Arabidopsis thaliana: one gene and its partners. The protein of the gene in region 2 interacts with the protein of the main gene of each other region in a pairwise test. Each region holds a gene or a part of one and is shown on either strand. Other genes may lie near its edges.

Region 1 (6,315 bases), on a different chromosome or scaffold from region 2:
AACATGTGAAAAGTTTAGAAGGTATGACACATATTGCTTAAACAAAATCATAAGAGGATGGAAAGAGACACTGTAAGAAAAAATGAAACAAATAAAACGAGTGCTTGCAAAAAGATAGGGAGAGTGATAGCTCTTTGTAAAAAAATTGTGAAGACAGAAATTCATATACATATTGAAAAGAATGTGAGAAAATATGAGTTGTTAAAGTAAAGTATAGATAAGCTTATGAATATACTTCTATATAATATCTTATTTTTAGACGAGCTATACTAACTAATGCAGCGAAGATAAACAAAAAAGAATAGTAAATTTACGGATTTCAAAATGAGAAAGTCGTCGAAGTTATTTTCCATAAAACAATTTATTTCATACATAAAAAGACGTCGTGATCCTAAATATCTAAAGCTAAAGAGAGAGTCATGAGCCAAAAAAATGTTCTTTTGATAAATGTTGTAAACCTAAAAGTTGTATTAAAGTTATTTTTAGTTTTGTATTTAAATTGTAACTATTGTCATGGTAATTTTAAAATTCAAAGAGTTTATAATATTAACAACAAGTAGACATATAAAAACATATCTTTTAAAAAATTTCTATAATAATTTTATTCACACAAAAAAATATTAAAAAGTTTTACAAATAGACCCATGCGTAGCGTGGATTCATAACCTAGGATTTAGAACGACTAATCGGGAGTTGCCACATAAATAATTAACATATTTAGTATCTAATTAATTAACATTTTTGAAAACAACCAATCGGGAGCTGCCACATCAATAATTAACATATTTAGCATCTAATTAATTAACATTTTTGAAAATAGCAATTACTTTATATTTTAAAATGTAAAAACAAAGGAACTAACAAATATTAAATTTAAACTTATAAAATAGGAAGCTATATAATTATAATTATGTAATAATAAACTCAAACCCTTATAGGATTTTATACAACTAATCCAACATTTTTTTAATATAACTTAAAGAAACGTAACAAGGACGTGGTTTGATGGTGGTGTTTTTAACTGTATCAATTTGAATCAAGTTCTCGAAGATATGCTCGTGGCAACTACCATGAGAATTCCACTTTTTCGGTCATGTGACAACCACACAAATTTCCGAGTTTCACGAGTTCAAAATCGGTGTTTCAACTCGTAACTTAGCCTTGAACGCATAAAAGCGAACTGAATGAATTAGAGTTGTAATGTTGTATTTATTTTTGTAGATTGTTTTAATCCGCTTCTTGCTAATCTCTGTATTTCTGTCAAAAATCAAAAATAATATAAAATCTAATTGTCTACCAAAAAAAAAATCATTCATAGTCCATGAGTAGAATCAAAACAAGATAGATTCAAACTTTATCAAGATAGATAAATAAGCTAAGAAATGAAATAGTTCCTCAAAACTAAATTTAGTGTCACCAAGAGGCAAGATCAAACTTTTCAAATAAGGGAAAGAAGAGAATTGCAACGTGATTAATTGATGAGGTCATAGTAAAAGTCAAAAATCTGTGTGACTCAAAACGGGTAAAAACAATAATTGGGATGTAGTTGATAACTCTAAAAAAAAAGGGACAAAAATGAGATTTGCATAAAGTAGAGATACAAAATTGAGAAGAAAAAAAAATCCTCTTCACTAAAAAAAAAAAAACTTCCGTTATCGATCTCTATCTCTCTCTTCCCCCACAAGGGTGGCGATTCGAGGAGTTTCCATGGTGGAACAGAAACCCTAGAGCCTTTATGCTGCCACTAATTATCACTCTTCACTATTGAATTGGGGATGGACTCAGAGAAAATCCTCAATCCAAGACTTGTTTCGATTAATAGCACCAGCCGCAAAGGTATGTCCGTTGAGTTGCCGCAGAAACCGCCGCCACCGCCGTCGTTGTTAGACCGGTTTAAAGCTTTGCTTAATCAGCGTGAAGATGAGTTCGGTGGTGGTGAAGAGGTTTTGCCTCCGAGTATGGATGAGATTGTTCAGCTTTATGAGGTTGTTTTGGGTGAGCTTACTTTCAATTCTAAGCCTATTATCACTGATCTCACTATTATCGCTGGTGAACAACGGGAACATGGTGAAGGAATCGCTAATGCTATTTGCACTCGAATCCTTGAGGTTTGCTTTCTTCTTATTTGTTTCCACTTTCTAGCCTTATTGTATAGTATGTAAGTGTAGAAGTGGGAAAAAAATTAGGTTTTTGATTGTCAGAGATTAGTGTTTGGTTTGTGGTTTAGTGAAATGGCTGCTTCTGAGTTACCTGTGGGTGTATATATGCAGGCTCCTGTTGAGCAAAAGTTGCCATCTCTGTATCTTTTAGACAGCATTGTTAAGAACATTGGGCGGGATTATGGTCGCTATTTCTCATCCCGTCTACCCGAGGTGAGCAGTCTACAAGAAGATGTTTACTTAAATGATTTGAATAGGGCTGAAGCATACCCATGAGCTGTTTTGATCCTATTCTGCTTTAGGTCTTCTGCCTTGCATATAGGCAAGCACATCCGAGTTTACATCCGTCAATGCGTCACCTGTTTGGGACTTGGTCGAGTGTTTTTCCACCACCTGTACTACGCAAGATTGATATGCAATTGCAACTTTCATCTGCAGCAAACCAATCTTCCGTAGGGGCTTCTGAGCCTAGTCAACCAACGAGAGGTATACATGTTAATCCAAAATATCTTCGCAGGCTGGAGCCCTCAGCCGCCGAAAATGTAAGCCTTTCTCTTTGTCATTATGAACAGAGATGACATTCTTTTTTTAGGTGCATCTGCAACCTTGAAGCTATGGTGTGTTAATTTTATATAAGTGTACTAAGTAAAACGGGTATTAGATTAGTTTGGCCTCATAGTGGTCTTATCCATTGTATTTCTTTAAAGTTTTGTTAGTTAGACGAGATAGATGTTTACATTCTTCAAGTAATCAATCTTGACTGGAAGGGAGTTGTTGTTATGGCCTCTCTCAGTTATACATGATGAGTAGGTCACTGGGACTCTGGTACATTAGAAATGATCTTGTTAGCACATGTAGAGGGTTTTTTTTTGGTTATAGTACAGTAGATCACTGTTTATGCATCATGTGTCGTTTGGAACTGTTTTTATATGTTTTTTTTCAAAGAGTGACTATACCTGAGATGCATATTTCCTTAATTGCTCTTGCTTGACATGCAGAATTTGAGAGGAATTAATTCCAGTGCAAGAGTTTATGGCCAAAATTCACTCGGTGGGTATAATGATTTCGAAGATCAGTTAGAGAGCCCATCTTCACTGTCTAGTACACCAGATGGTTTTACCAGGAGGTCTAATGATGGAGCTAATCCTTCTAATCAAGCTTTTAACTATGGAATGGGTCGAGCTACTAGCAGAGATGATGAACATATGGAATGGCGAAGAAAGGAAAACTTAGGCCAAGGAAATGATCACGAAAGACCTAGAGCGTTGATAGATGCATATGGAGTTGACACCAGCAAACACGTAACGATCAATAAACCAATTCGCGATATGAATGGCATGCACAGTAAGATGGTTACACCATGGCAGAACACTGAGGAAGAAGAGTTTGATTGGGAAGATATGAGCCCTACCCTAGATCGTAGCAGAGCTGGTGAATTTTTGCGATCATCTGTACCAGCATTAGGAAGTGTAAGGGCAAGACCCAGAGTAGGAAACACAAGTGATTTTCATTTAGATTCTGACATTAAGAATGGTGTAAGTCATCAGCTACGAGAAAATTGGAGTTTGTCACAAAATTATCCACATACATCCAACCGTGTTGATACAAGAGCAGGAAAAGACTTGAAAGTATTGGCTTCATCTGTAGGGTTAGTTTCATCAAACAGTGAATTCGGGGCTCCTCCATTTGATAGCATTCAAGATGTTAACTCACGTTTTGGCCGGGCTCTTCCTGATGGGACATGGCCCCATTTGAGTGCTAGAGGACCCAACTCTCTCCCTGTACCTTCTGCTCATTTGCATCATTTGGCAAATCCCGGTAATGCGATGTCAAATCGCTTGCAAGGTAAGCCTTTATATAGGCCCGAAAACCAGGTCTCTCAGAGTCATCTTAATGATATGACTCAACAGAATCAGATGCTAGTTAATTATTTGCCATCCTCATCTGCTATGGCTCCAAGGCCAATGCAATCGTTGTTAACCCACGTAAGTCATGGGTACCCTCCACATGGGTCAACCATTAGACCATCTTTATCAATCCAAGGTGGGGAAGCCATGCATCCTCTTTCTTCAGGAGTTTTATCTCAGATAGGAGCCTCTAATCAACCACCAGGTGGCGCATTCTCTGGTCTGATTGGCTCTCTCATGGCTCAAGGTTTGATCTCATTGAACAATCAGCCTGCTGGTCAGGTAATTATTCAAATCATGTCCTTGAGAGTCGGTTTGTTCTTAGTTATTGCTTTATCTTGAATTGTTGGTTTATATATTCAGGGACCATTGGGGTTGGAGTTTGATGCAGACATGCTCAAGATACGTAATGAGTCTGCAATCAGTGCTTTATATGGGGATCTCCCGAGGCAATGCACAACCTGTGGTCTACGCTTCAAGTGCCAAGAAGAGCACAGTAAGCACATGGATTGGCATGTAACCAAGAACAGGATGTCCAAGAACCATAAGCAGAACCCTTCTCGGAAATGGTTTGTAAGTGCTAGCATGTGGCTCAGTGGTGCAGAAGCACTTGGAGCTGAAGCAGTACCAGGGTTCTTGCCCACGGAGCCAACAACAGAAAAGAAGGATGACGAAGATATGGCAGTTCCTGCAGATGAAGACCAAACTTCATGTGCATTATGTGGTGAGCCATTTGAAGACTTTTATAGTGATGAAACCGAGGAATGGATGTACAAAGGTGCGGTATACATGAATGCTCCTGAAGAATCAACAACAGATATGGACAAGTCTCAGTTAGGTCCTATAGTGCATGCAAAGTGCAGGCCAGAGTCCAATGGGGTAAGCCATTCCATGCATTTTCATTAGCTTCATTTGTGTCTAGTTGAATCCATTTTCATTTTCGCTGCTAGACATTTATCCAGTGACGACCTCTTGATTTCCCGATCATGGCTTTTTCAGGGTGATATGGAAGAGGGTAGTCAGAGGAAAAAGATGCGGAGTTAGATCCCTTAGACCGAATTTTAGGTCTTTTTCTTGACTACATTTAAGTTACATTCTTATTTCTTCATCATCTATATGCACTTAGTCACAGAATACCACCAATGAAGAGAAATGATGGAGAGAGTCTTCTTTCTCCTAAAACTGTACCATTGAAAAAAAGAGGTTTACACCCACATATATTATCATTCTTTATGCCTCTAAATTCCTGTTGTGCCTTAGGACATGGATATCGTGTAACTGTTCTGCATTCTCTGCTACACCTAACCTGGGGTGCTTGTAGTAGTAAAATCAGATGTCGCAACAGTAGTTTCCCCATGTAAATGGAATACAATGTCTCTGTTTCGGATTGTCTTTTTCTTTTTCATCTTTAGATATTGCAGGGAAAGCCCGAGAAGACTGATATTCGAATGTGAACAGATTTCTTATGATGAATGGATCTCATAGATGCTGTTGCTAAGAGAACCAGTTTCAGGTTTCTTCTTTAGAGCTTTCCCTGTCTGAGTTTTACCTTTCTATGTTAGGCTGTTAGCTAAAAATGTTAGTTAACATAACTCTCTTTAAGCGTATTTGTTCTCTTGACTTTGTCTATAATGAAACAAGTTTTACTTTTCTTCTATCTGAACCTTTTGCTTTTGAAATTTCCACTACTTGTATCTTCATACCTACATGATACAGAGCCGGATTTATGTCGAAGTAGATTGAACGATAGTTAAAGCTTTCGAACTTACTTGGCTTTTTGCTCGATCAAACTAGAGTTTTTTCATGACTGTTACATTTGAAATATGGAATTATAAAGATTTAAAGGTTATGATTTAGTTCTGGTAGTACCTTATAGGACTGCAGAGCAAACTCAGTTCAAATCTGGCTTTGTCTCAACCGTTAGTCTCTAAACAAGAGTATGTGATGATCAATAGATGTAATGGCTGGAGTAAAATTCATGTTTGTTATATACATTGTGAAAATAGTCTATTATAGTATGAATATAAGAAAACAGCTTGCAATATGCAATATGAACTAAGCTAGAACAAAAGATCAGGTTAAGAACACACATCATTGCCCTTTTATTTTGCCTTTGTTAGAAAATTGGACCGTTGGTTGAATGGGATAAGAGAGAGCTAACAGAAACTAGTAGTGTACTAATAACAAAGATTTTAACTCCATATCTGTCAAGTGCAACAAAAGGGCTTACAATACAAAACAACAAAGAA
Region 2 (4,046 bases):
GTGAAGCTTGTGCTTTAGAGAGTCATTAAAAATGGGGCCAAACAGTATTAGTCTAACCTTGTGATTTGCATTGGATACCCAATAGGTCATTCACGAACGTAGTATATACATAGGATAACCGATCACGTGGTGTAAGAAACTTAAAGGGCCGACGAGGGGTTACCTAACAAAATAAAAGATTCTTCTTTTAAAAGGTTTAAAAGAGAAATCTTACGCATAAACCATATACCAATATAAGTCTACAGAGATGTTAATCCTACAGCGTTCCACGTTTTACAAGTAGATCGCACCGCGCTTAGAGATGTTAATGGAACCCTAGAGAGTATCTCTTCTACCAAAGCCACCGGAAGATCAGACATCATCATTATACTTATAGATTGTGAATGTGTTATCTCATTAGAATGAGAATAAATATAGAGAGTTACACAAAGGAATTGGTTTCCTTGTTTCGGTTTATTGGTATAGAGAGTCTGGTTTATGTAAACCGGGAATCAAGTGAGATTTCACTGGTTAATCCGGAACAATCTATACTATAATTCTGGATTACAATAAAACAGACTCTATAACTCCGGATTAAAAGTAAAGAGGTGATAAGAGTAAAATAGGAGATTCAATTGATAGAACTGTATTTGTGTTACATCTTGATTAATGTAATGTACATTTACTTTTAAAAAAACGAATGACTAAAACAGAGATATAAAAAATCTCAATCAGCAGAGTATAGCTTTCGCAACCGATGGAACTGTAACAGACATTACCCTCGACGGCTCTCTCAAATCCTTAGCAGGTCGGGGTTCAGGCATACACTTAACATGAACTATACGACCATTCTTGGTTAAGTAGACTGCATCTTTGTACATCCAGTCATCAGCTTCATGGCTAAAGAACTCTTCAAACGGCTCTACGCATAACGCGCAATTCTTCTGATCTTCATCCGCAGGCACCATGTGTTGTTTTTGTACTTGATCCTTTTCATTCTTCTTCTGCATTTCTCCTCCTCCAAAAGATGCTACTTCTACGGTCCCTCCTCCCGTTGGTGCACAAAGCCATAAAGATGCACTCGCTAACCATCCCCTCGATTTCTTCGGTTGCTGACCAAGTCTTGTAGTGGTTTTCACCGACCTGTTCTTCCTTACGTGCCAATCCATATGTTTACTATGCTCTTCTTGACATTTGAATCTCACCCCACACGAAGTACATTGCCTCGGCATATCAGAATACAGAGACTTAATCACAGATTCATGTCGAACATTAAGCGATGATGGATTGTCAAAGCTTAATCCAACAGGCAATGAATCATTATTACTTGCTTCTGAAGTTTTCTTCTCTTTCTCATTGTTAAGAAGACTAAGCAAATCAGTCAATTCTTTGCTTAAAACAATTGGTTGATGCATCGATTGAGACACAACTGAAACCATGTTCGAATGATTCATCGGATTTTGAACATTCGTAAAATCAGGTGTGTTTGGTACAAAATTCGATGACCTAACAGGATAATTCGGAGTTGAATTTGGAACCCATTGAGGCAACGAATCTAAAGGATCAAGCTTACGATAAGGTAATGGAAGAGGAACAATTTGGGGATTAGGGTTTCCATAAACAACAAAGGGTTTCTGATAATTGTTGGTGTTAGAATCATTGTTAGGTAAAGCAAAACTTGAATTAGAAGCAATCACATCAACACCGTAATTGTTATATGACTGAGAAGAAACCCTAGACACGTTATTATTAGTATTACTACCATAATGATACAGAGGATTATGACCAGATCGGAATTGCTGTTGCAGTTGCGATCTGAAACGTTTTTGCGGCGGCGCGTAACGGTTCCTCTCCTCTTGATAACATCCGATTCCGCCACCGTAACCGCGATTGTCGTTTCGTCTCTTCATCGTTGTTCCAGCGTTTGCGTTTCTCTGAGCAGAGAAGGATCCGTTTGATGCCATCTTCGCGATTCAACAACAAGTTATGAGTTACCAGAGATCGATCGCAGAAAGACAAAAGAAACCCTAAATTTGGATTGGGGTGATCGCGTTGAGAATTTTAGAAATTGAAACGATTGAAAAATAAAACGAATCTGAAGAGGCAGGAAGATAGGTTTCTCTATAAATAAACGTTTATGTGATTATGTCGGTTGATAAAGTAAACCGCGTGAATCGCGCGTTGTCACATGTTTTGGGCCACGCTTTATAGGCCCAATATTTTAATGGGCCTGTTTAATGGGGCTTCTGGAATATAGTCGTTGTTCCGCTCTATTTTGAAGAAGGAAGCTATGGATTCTAAGAAGGCACTAGAGCTTGTAAAGCATGGAGCTACGCTTCTCTTTCTCGATGTTCCTCAGCATACGCTTGTTGGAATCGATACTCAGGTTTGTTAACTACTTCTTCAAAGTTTAAAGCTTTTATCGAATTTGAACTTTTATCAAATTCCTCAAATGTCATTTAGTAATGTTCTGGTCTCTGGTCTCTGTGATATCCTGTTAGTAGCACCATGGAACTGTATAAACCGTAAGTGAATATATATTCACTATCTTTTGTTGACTAAACAAGGTTATTGTACGCAAATGGAATCAGCAAGACGAGTGGTTAAACAAAGTATCTGAAGAAGAGGTATGGCCTTTTAATAACCTAGTGCAGTAAATTTAACAATCCTGCTTATACGTTGGTCAGCGCAATTTTCATTCTTTTCAATCCCTTTGATGCCAGGAAGAGAGGTATTCTCAAGCAGTCAGGTCTTTAGATTCGTATGTATCACCTTTTTTTCTTTTTTTGTGTAAGATGAAGTTTTTACGAGTGATATATAGTTCAAAAATAGAAAAGAAAAGAAGACAGTAATATCAATCTTTGTAAATAATTAAAATATAAAATAATTAAACTAGCCAAAACGATATAGAAAGTCGCCAAAATTTAGTCATGTTTTAATTATTCATTTTTTAGAAAAAAATACATAGATTAAAAAAAACATGTTAAAATTGATTATAAATGTATTAACTTTTGTGATTTACATTTTTATATAATTTTAAACTACTGATATTTAATTATTTGTCTTGAAGTTTAAAATTCATCAATAATAACTAATAAATAGTGTATAGAAAACCTAAAAAATTGCTTCATGAAACAAACTTTTTTTTCTAAAAAATTAATTAATAAGAAACAAAGAAAATAATAGTTACTACCGAATAATGATAATTTTGTGACTCATATAATCTACCATCAGAGAAAGAAAATTTGTGGGAATTAAGAGTCAATTTGGAACAAAATGTTTTAAACCGTGGTATATAAGAATATTTTTTTTTCAAGAGAATTGTTTTTTTATCTTTAGGCGACATTTTCCTAATTCATCCATAAAGTTAAAAAAAAAAGTTTTATGTATTTAATTTGTGTTACTTTGGAACTTTGGAGATGATTTGCTAAATTTGGAATTAACTTATTTTTTGTGTTATTTGTAAGAACTGCCATAAATTTTAAATTAATTTCAGTAATTTAACAGGAGAAATTTAAATTAATTTCAAGTATACATGTATGGGTCCTTATCTAGTGCTACAATAATATTAAACATGTCCATATATACCAAATAAAACGCAAAAAAAATTATGGTAAAACGGAAAATGCCACAACACTGCTGATTGCCGCTGCAATAGCTCCAACCACAAATCCTGGTAAATTCCCACCTCCAAATAACGCATCAATAGGACCAACTCCAAATGATACAACCATTTGTGGTATCACTATTGTCATGTTTAAAACGCCTAGAGAGAGTCCTGCGATGACAACAAAAAGAACACATCCTTAATTTGACACTTTAATATTTATGTTACACAAAACGATTACTGTTTTCTATTGATATAGCAAATTCCTTATGGTTAACGAAAACCAAATCCGTAAGAATATCAATTAATCAATCTAATTAAGTTAGTAGATAACAGATATCACCATAAATTTACAACGTTATAAATAATAAAAACGTAATAAAAAAATTGTAATCTTCAAACGTAAAGTAGAGATAATTGGAAACCGATCTCTGATTTAATTTAGCTTTTTGTATTCACA
Region 3 (7,889 bases), on a different chromosome or scaffold from region 2:
ATGTCAAGAACCAAAATAGTATTTTAAGGTAGGGCAACAATAGTATTGCCAACATTTCTCTGGATGGGTGAAATAAGCATAATTACTAATTTAGAACAAAGATATTTAATATACGATAAAAAAAACTACTACCTATGTTCCTAAATCCTAACAGAACGATGTTTTAGTTTTTTCGCACATGAATAAGTAATCTTACTTTTTTGCTAAGTTTTTGTAAATTTAATAATATTAATTATGTTTTTCTCTTTCTATATTGATAACATATGAAAGTAATAATGATGTTGAAACAAAACATTAATCAATTATGAAACAAAAAATTCCAAAATATCAATCTATTAGACTAAGAGGCAATACTTAATAGGGGACAAAAATCTGGTCTTAAAGTGTGCTACAAAATTTTCATGCACACGAATAAAAAAAATTGTATTACCAAATTAAAATGTAAACCCATGCATACTTTACGTACATACAGTATATTTTTTTTGCTAAGAATGTAAATATTTCATTAAAAATGAAAACAATTTAGGTTTACAATCCAAAGATTATACTCCTAAAGAAATGGTCCCATGACAAAAAAAGCAAAAAACATGGAAGCATAGATCTTAGAAACATTTTCAGTCCATCCACTCAAACATAAGCACAAATGCTAATGGAGTAAGACGAAGTGATGACGATTTTGAAGTTCTTCCCGGCTCTGATGCTTGAGACGAAGGGCGAATGCAAATTGAAGAGCCGAATTACCAAGATACAAGACACTAGAAGCCTTTCACAGGAGGTCCGAGACTGTGCCGTCAACGGCCCGTCAAAGGATTCCATGAGCTCTCACAGAACGAAACCCCACAAACCAAAGAATGTGAACAATGTGAGCTCACCCTACCAAGTTCCTTCCCGAAGTCGCATAGTACAGAGCTAGATTTTTGAGAGCTAGATTTTTCAACTCAACGCCACACTGAACACCAATAGTCTTACTAACTCCTCTAGTGCCTAGTGAAAAAGCAACCATAGCAAAACGCATTGCAACGCAAGAACTACGACTCTAGGCAACATCAATGGCAAGACACAACAAAACCAGGGCTTATTAGCAAATACAGTATACTATGTATTCGCCCTATATAACAAATATATTAGTTAGGATTCAAACTATAATAAATTACCTATACTATGTATAATAACTATAACATTCAAATGAAATTTCTTCATCTACGTCATTTAAATTAATTTAGATATGATGTTCATTTCCATAATTATCTATTAACGTTGAGTATAAAGTATTAGGCTCATATCTCTAAAGTTATCATTGTATCGACTTTAGAGCTAGAAACTTAAATTGATTTGATTTTGGAAATTGATGAATTAATTAATATCTTATATTACATGTCTATTTCATTGAAATATATCTTCTTATGATTAATTTCTTATTTTACATGTATCTTTATAAGTGTTAAAAGTGAATTCACGAATAAAAGCTATATAATGCTTACTAAAGTGTATATATACAAGCATTATTAGTTTAGTACATGTGGTACGAAAAATGGAGAGTAATTCATGATGTTTCCAAAGAACCTAGGCCAAAATAGATTTCAATCCCGCCAAAGATCTATCAGACTTCAAATTCGAATACACCAACTCTCTTGAACCTAACTTAACGGCTTAACGTTTTATGTACTTAGGAAATTAGTGAAGGAAAAAAAAAAAGAGAGAAATATTAGAAATCGAAAAGATATTGTATGTACCGTAATCGGTCCAACTTACTTTTAATGGGCCAAAAATCTAGGCCCGTAATATTTTTAATATAAGTTTAGTAGAATCCACGTGGACAGTAGAACCGCGGAAAATATTCGTTTCCTGAAGACGGACCGGTTGCTTTGAGTTTCCCCGTTCGACAATAGGGTATCACCGACCACCGTGTTTCGGGCAGACTCGTCGGAGGAGTGTTAAAATTGTTGAATCTCAGATTAGGGTTTACTTCTATGGTAAACTTCTGAAGGTCTGTCTGTTTTCCTGATCTGAGGTCCTTCTAGGGATTTTTTTTTATGGCGTTGAAGCAGCAGAAGCTTTAGCTAGACTTGTCGGAAGATTGTGACACTTATTGAATCTCAGATTAGGGTCTACTTATATTACCATTGAGTGGAATATTTGAAAGACTGTTCTTCCGAAGGTGAAATTCATGGCTGATAAGTACATCGTCGAGGAAGCAGAGGCTTTGGCCAAGAGAGCTTTGGTACAATTCTTTCCCCAGCTATATACTTGTCTGACTTCTCGTACTCTTTCATAAAGTTTAGATTTTTACTTGTTGGGTTTCGTAAAATTGTGTCCTTTCCTCAGCATTCACCAATTGCACAGGCGACGCCGATCTACGAGCAGCTTTTGTCACTTTATCCCACTTCTGTAAGTTTCCCATGACTTTGCTTCCACGTATTTTAAGAGTTTCCTGATGTTTTTGGTTAATTGTGAGCTCCTTTGTACTCTGTAGGCGAGATTTTGGAAGCAATATGTGGAGGCACAGATGGCTGTAAACAATGATGATGCTACCAAACAGATATTTAGTCGTTGTTTGTTGACCTGCCTTCAAGTTCCTCTTTGGTAATGCCATGTTACCCTTTATTAGTCGTTGATAAGAGTCAATTTAACATCTTTTCGTCTCATTGTTGGGTTTCTTGCTCAGCTGCAATGCAAGTCTTGCCATCTCCTTGGATATAATTCTAACATCTTATTCTCTCAGGCAATGTTACATTCGGTTCATCAGAAAGGTCTACGACAAGAAGGGAGCAGAGGGTCAAGAGGAGACCACAAAGGCTTTTGAGTTTATGCTTAACTATATTGGTATTGCTTCTCTTCCGCAGTTTTGGCTCTATTTTGTTTGTTTTTCATTTCAATCATGTCTCATACATAGAGGGAATTTTTTCCGTTTTGTGAGTAATGAATACAGTTATGTTTAGTAAACAATATGATTTGATCAATTTTATGCTTAATATAGTTGCTAATGATAACTATTCATCAGCAATAGCAAGCACATAGTTACGCTTCGTGTCTATGTAGACCTCTAGTTTCCCTTTATCATGCCAACACATAACACAACTTGGGCCTTACAGATGGTTGTTTATTTCGATTTATGAATCTCCAGGGACAGACATCGCATCAGGGCCTATATGGACTGAGTACATTGCCTTTCTAAAATCTCTTCCGGTTCGTTATATCACTCTAACTTTGTCCTTGATACTAATAATTTGTTATTGCAGAGAAACTAATAGATTCCCATGCAGGCTCTTAACCTCAACGAAGATTTGCATCGGAAGACTGCTCTTCGAAAAGTGTATCATAGAGCTATATTAACTCCGACCCACCACGTTGAACAACTTTGGAAAGATTATGAAAACTTCGAAAATACTGTTAACCGTCAATTGGTAAACTTCTAAGAAATTAAAATTATGTGGCTTCTTATTTTCATGAAAAGAAGCAGGTACGAACTTCATTCTCTTGGCTTTGTTGATGGATAATCTAATCTAATCATGTGAGCAGGCAAAAGGACTTGTAAATGAGTATCAACCAAAATTTAACAGTGCCAGGGCTGTATATAGGGAGCGCAAGAAGTACATTGAAGAAATTGATTGGAACATGCTTGCTGTCCCACCAACAGGAACTTCCAAGGTAAAGAATTTATCATCCATTGCTTCTTTTTGGAACTGCTGAGTGCTGAATGTACAATTATTTTCTTATCTTTTTGAGTTCGATAAGATTGGATATATTGACTCTTAAACTGCCTAAAAGACATTATGAGCATAATTCACGTCATGAGATCATGTTATTAAGATAGGAAATACATATTGAGTATCATCTGCTTACTTTGCTACTTTACACCGTCTTATGGTTTTTTGCAGGAAGAAACCCAGTGGGTGGCCTGGAAAAAGTTCTTGTCCTTTGAAAAGTAAATCCCCAATTATCATATACAGTTTTTAATTTTAATATACATTCCATTCAGTGATGATGTGTGTTTTACGTATCTCCTTAGCCATTGTTTCTCTACCATAGCTAGATTTTAATATATCGCAACAGTTAATTGGTCCCTTGGTAGATTTTTTTGATTTTTTCGGTTTACGCCTAATGGTAAGACTTTTATATCTTGTTCCGTCTCTGTGTTTTGCCGATTAAGATTTATGATATTAACTAGAGAGCTGGAATAAATTACTATCCAGTTATGTCTCCAACAAGTGATGATGAGGTCTTATGCATAGAATTGTTTAACGAGTCCTTCTAAATATAACAAACTTCTGTATCTAATACAATTGTAAATTTCAGAGGAAACCCTCAAAGGATTGACACGGCCTCGTCAACTAAGCGGATTATATATGCCTATGAACAGGTATGCGAAGAGTCAGTGAGATGCTCTTGCTGAAATTTTGGAGGACTAATCTCCGAAATGTGTTCATTTCTGAATTGACTGACTATTACTCTGGTTTTACAGTGTCTGATGTGTTTATATCACTATCCCGATGTATGGTATGACTATGCTGAGTGGCACGTAAAATCTGGTTCCACGGATGCTGCAATCAAAGTATTTCAGCGAGCTCTTAAAGCCATTCCTGGTAAAAATCTAATCTATCCTTTTTTCTTTATGTCTATGAACTAGTTGCTTTATGAAGGATCAACTATTACTCTTTGCTTACCTGCTGGCTTACTGTTTTAATCTTATCTTCTATCTACTCTTAAGAAGTCTATTTTCTCTCTGCGACTCTTTTATATTTTTTACTAAGTGTCTACATTTCCCACTCTCGTATGTCAGATTCAGAGATGTTGAAATATGCTTTTGCTGAGATGGAGGAATCTCGTGGAGCAATTCAGGTTTTTATTTCTTGCTGCTGGCTTCTTGTAATTTAGCTTTATTAGTTGTCCGCATACTCGTTGCTTATAGTTGTATGATTTTGCAGTCAGCGAAGAAATTATATGAAAACATTTTGGGGGCTAGCACAAACTCTTTGGCACATATACAAGTAAGTACGCTCAAGTTTCAAAATTTAGGACTTGCGAAGATTGGCATAAACAGCATATCTTTCACTTTGAAATTGTTTCTTTTCTCTGAAAACATTCTCATATGATATATACTTATATATATATATATATATTCTTTCGCAGTACCTTCGTTTTCTCCGGAGGGCTGAGGGTGTTGAAGCTGCTCGCAAGTACTTTTTAGATGCTAGAAAATCTCCTAGCTGCACATATCATGTGTATATTGCTTTTGCTACCATGGCCTTTTGTATTGACAAGGAACCAAAGGTGTATTTTCTTACCCACTATGTGGTGGTCTATATGCTATTTAGAACTGCTTTTGTCTTGTGAAGGAGGTAGTGGTCGTTCAGTCAAGTTCAGAACCCACTCGTCTTATTAGTCTCTTAGTTGTTTAAGTTAACCAGGACCCATGAGACTTTTGTGATAATAAAGTCAAAATGATTTGAATATTGGGGTGTTTTGGCTATTGATGCACTTAAACTCTTCATTTGTTTGCAAAATACATGTACGTTACTTTTATGCCTCGTACATTCCTCTTTGTGCCTTCATTTGTTCGATTCTTTAACAAAGAATTAACATGTTCTTGCAAGACATATATACTAATGTAAACCATCTGACTTCAATTTCTATTCAGTTTCACAATAAAAATCCTTATGTTTGTATTTTTATGCAGGTTGCACATAATATCTTTGAAGAGGGGTTGAAACTCTATATGAGTGAACCTGTTTACATCCTTAAGTAAGTGTCACTGTAGCTTTACTTAGCGTTCCATTTTCTTAAGATACTTGGAAGCTCTTCTTTATTGAAGAAATATTGAGACTTTAAGACCTTCTCAGATAAAATATCCTCAAACTTGTTTCTCTCCCAAACCTTCCTAAGACAGAATTTTAACCATCTGGTTTTGCTTTGCAATCTAGGTATGCAGATTTCTTGACTAGATTGAATGATGATAGAAATATCAGAGCTCTATTTGAGCGGGCATTAAGCACGTTACCAGTTGAAGACTCTGCTGAGGTACGCTGATAGTGATATATTGTTTCTCAAAGCTGTTAAAGTATGCAGATTTTGTTCTTAAGCATGAAAAGAGACAACAAGGAAAATTACTAACCTGCTAATGAAAATAACCAAACCGAGCACCTAATTTGATTATAGCATTTCTGAATGCTTAAATATGATAATGGTTTAGCAATTGGAGGTGTAATCTTGATGCACATCTGAGCCTTATGAACAGTGGTGGGGATAGTAGACATTTAAAACTGAACTGAAAGAGTCCAATATTATTGTGGTTCACATGTAATACTGTTTAAAATGCTAGAACAATAAAGAAGACGACTGGTGTCAATGGGTTACGCCGTTATGCTAATTGATTTCTAGGATTAACTTTTTTCTTGCTCCATGTTTTGTAGGTCTGGAAAAGATTCATTCAGTTTGAGCAAACATATGGAGATCTTGCTAGTATTCTAAAGGTATTTTAACTCATTGAATGTTGTCAACGTATACGAGGAAAGCTACTATTATTAGCTTCCTGTGTTTTGTTAGCATTTTTTGTAGTTGTTTTTCGGTTGACTCCATTATGATGATAAGTTTGTTGAAGGGTCCAAACATTTATATCTATTCCATCTTACTGGCTTTTAGTTGCATGGAAGATCTAAAAATGCTGACACGTTCAACTTATTGCTAGAATAGACTATGTCAGACTCGCACCTCATAAAAGAGACATTTGATCAACGATGAAATTTACTGAAATCAGATCCACGATACATCCAGTATCAAGTGTGGCTGTTTGATGGAGTAGTCTGCTTATCTTCTTAGTTTTTTGCTCATAAATTTTCTTTACTATGACAACCTTGTTGTAGGTTGAGCAGAGAATGAAAGAAGCACTTTCTGGAAAAGGGGAAGAGGGGTCTTCTCCTCCAGAGAGTTCACTTCAAGATGTTGTTTCTCGGTACAGTTACATGGATCTTTGGCCATGCACTTCTAACGACCTTGATCATTTAGCCAGACAAGAGGTATTTTCCATGCAACATATCGCAATTAGCTCAAATAGCTACTAATGATACATCTAGTAAGTACTAATTCTAACCGATCAATGTGTTCACTATAGTTGCTTGTGAAGAATCTGAATAAGAAAGCAGGGAAAACAAATCTACCTCATGTTCCTGCGGCTATAGGTCTGTTCTTTTTAATTTTCTGGTGTGATGGATTATGTTAAACTTTGGTGATGACTGAAGTAAATAAACCGCCTTCTGGGCTGACAGGTAGTGTAGCTTCTTCGTCAAAAGTTGTTTATCCAGATACATCTCAGATGGTTGTTCAAGACCCGACAAAGAAATCAGGTATCTGATTTGCACTTTGCCGCAATATTTGGCTGCACGATGAATGGAATTGTTAACTTATTCTGAACCACTCATGATTTGACTGTAGAGTTTGCTAGTTCTGCAAACCCAGTGGCAGCTTCTGCTTCGAACACCTTCCCAAGTACTGTGACTGCAACTGCAACTCATGGATCAGCCAGCACATTTGACGAAATACCAAAGACTACTCCACCTGCATTGGTAGCATTTTTAGCTAACTTGCCTATTGTGGACGGTAAATCTCTTAAAAACCAACTCCAAGTTGTATCTGAACTGAGCACCTGAATAAGTGTCCACTAACCAACTAGTTTATCATTATCTTCTCAATTCGCAGGTCCAACACCCAATGTGGATGTTGTTCTGTCGATATGTTTGCAGAGCGACTTTCCAACAGGTCAAACTGTAAAGCAGAGTTTTGCTGCTAAAGGCAATCCTCCAAGTCAAAACGATCCCTCGGGTCCAACCCGCGGTGTGTCTCAAAGATTACCAAGAGACAGAAGAGCTACAAAGAGAAAAGATTCAGACAGTAAG

What was found.
Region 1: the proteins of AT5G43620 (region 2) and PCFS4 interact in a two-hybrid assay, tested with the Arabidopsis thaliana proteins (one study listed by BioGRID).
Region 3: the proteins of AT5G43620 (region 2) and CSTF77 interact in a two-hybrid assay, tested with the Arabidopsis thaliana proteins (one study listed by BioGRID).

What each region holds. Positions count from the first base shown.
Region 1 is NC_003075.7:2,470,308-2,476,622, forward strand, and holds PCFS4 (PCF11P-similar protein 4), read left to right. Parts: upstream 1-1,558; 5' UTR 1,559-1,775; coding exon 1,776-2,108; intron 2,109-2,270; coding exon 2,271-2,372; intron 2,373-2,461; coding exon 2,462-2,701; intron 2,702-3,157; coding exon 3,158-4,348; intron 4,349-4,429; coding exon 4,430-4,945; intron 4,946-5,065; coding exon 5,066-5,110; 3' UTR 5,111-5,718; downstream 5,719-6,315.
Region 2 is NC_003076.8:17,520,550-17,524,595, reverse strand, and holds AT5G43620 (Pre-mRNA cleavage complex II), read right to left. Parts: upstream 2,111-4,046; 5' UTR 1,944-2,110; coding exon 711-1,943; 3' UTR 593-710; downstream 1-592. Other genes in the region: SUC6 (sucrose-proton symporter 6), read right to left, coding at 3,588-3,757.
Region 3 is NC_003070.9:6,110,550-6,118,438, reverse strand, and holds the start of CSTF77 (Tetratricopeptide repeat (TPR)-like superfamily protein), read left to right. Parts: upstream 1-1,821; 5' UTR 1,822-2,167; coding exon 2,168-2,221; intron 2,222-2,325; coding exon 2,326-2,388; intron 2,389-2,473; coding exon 2,474-2,583; intron 2,584-2,722; coding exon 2,723-2,823; intron 2,824-3,124; coding exon 3,125-3,186; intron 3,187-3,263; coding exon 3,264-3,404; intron 3,405-3,519; coding exon 3,520-3,648; intron 3,649-3,878; coding exon 3,879-3,925; intron 3,926-4,296; coding exon 4,297-4,360; intron 4,361-4,462; coding exon 4,463-4,583; intron 4,584-4,780; coding exon 4,781-4,839; intron 4,840-4,925; coding exon 4,926-4,988; intron 4,989-5,130; coding exon 5,131-5,271; intron 5,272-5,677; coding exon 5,678-5,742; intron 5,743-5,921; coding exon 5,922-6,018; intron 6,019-6,410; coding exon 6,411-6,470; intron 6,471-6,860; coding exon 6,861-7,013; intron 7,014-7,108; coding exon 7,109-7,175; intron 7,176-7,262; coding exon 7,263-7,340; intron 7,341-7,428; and 4 more. UniProt on the Arabidopsis thaliana protein: One of the multiple factors required for polyadenylation and 3'-end cleavage of pre-mRNAs. Required for the targeted 3' processing of antisense transcripts that triggers transcriptional silencing of the corresponding sense gene.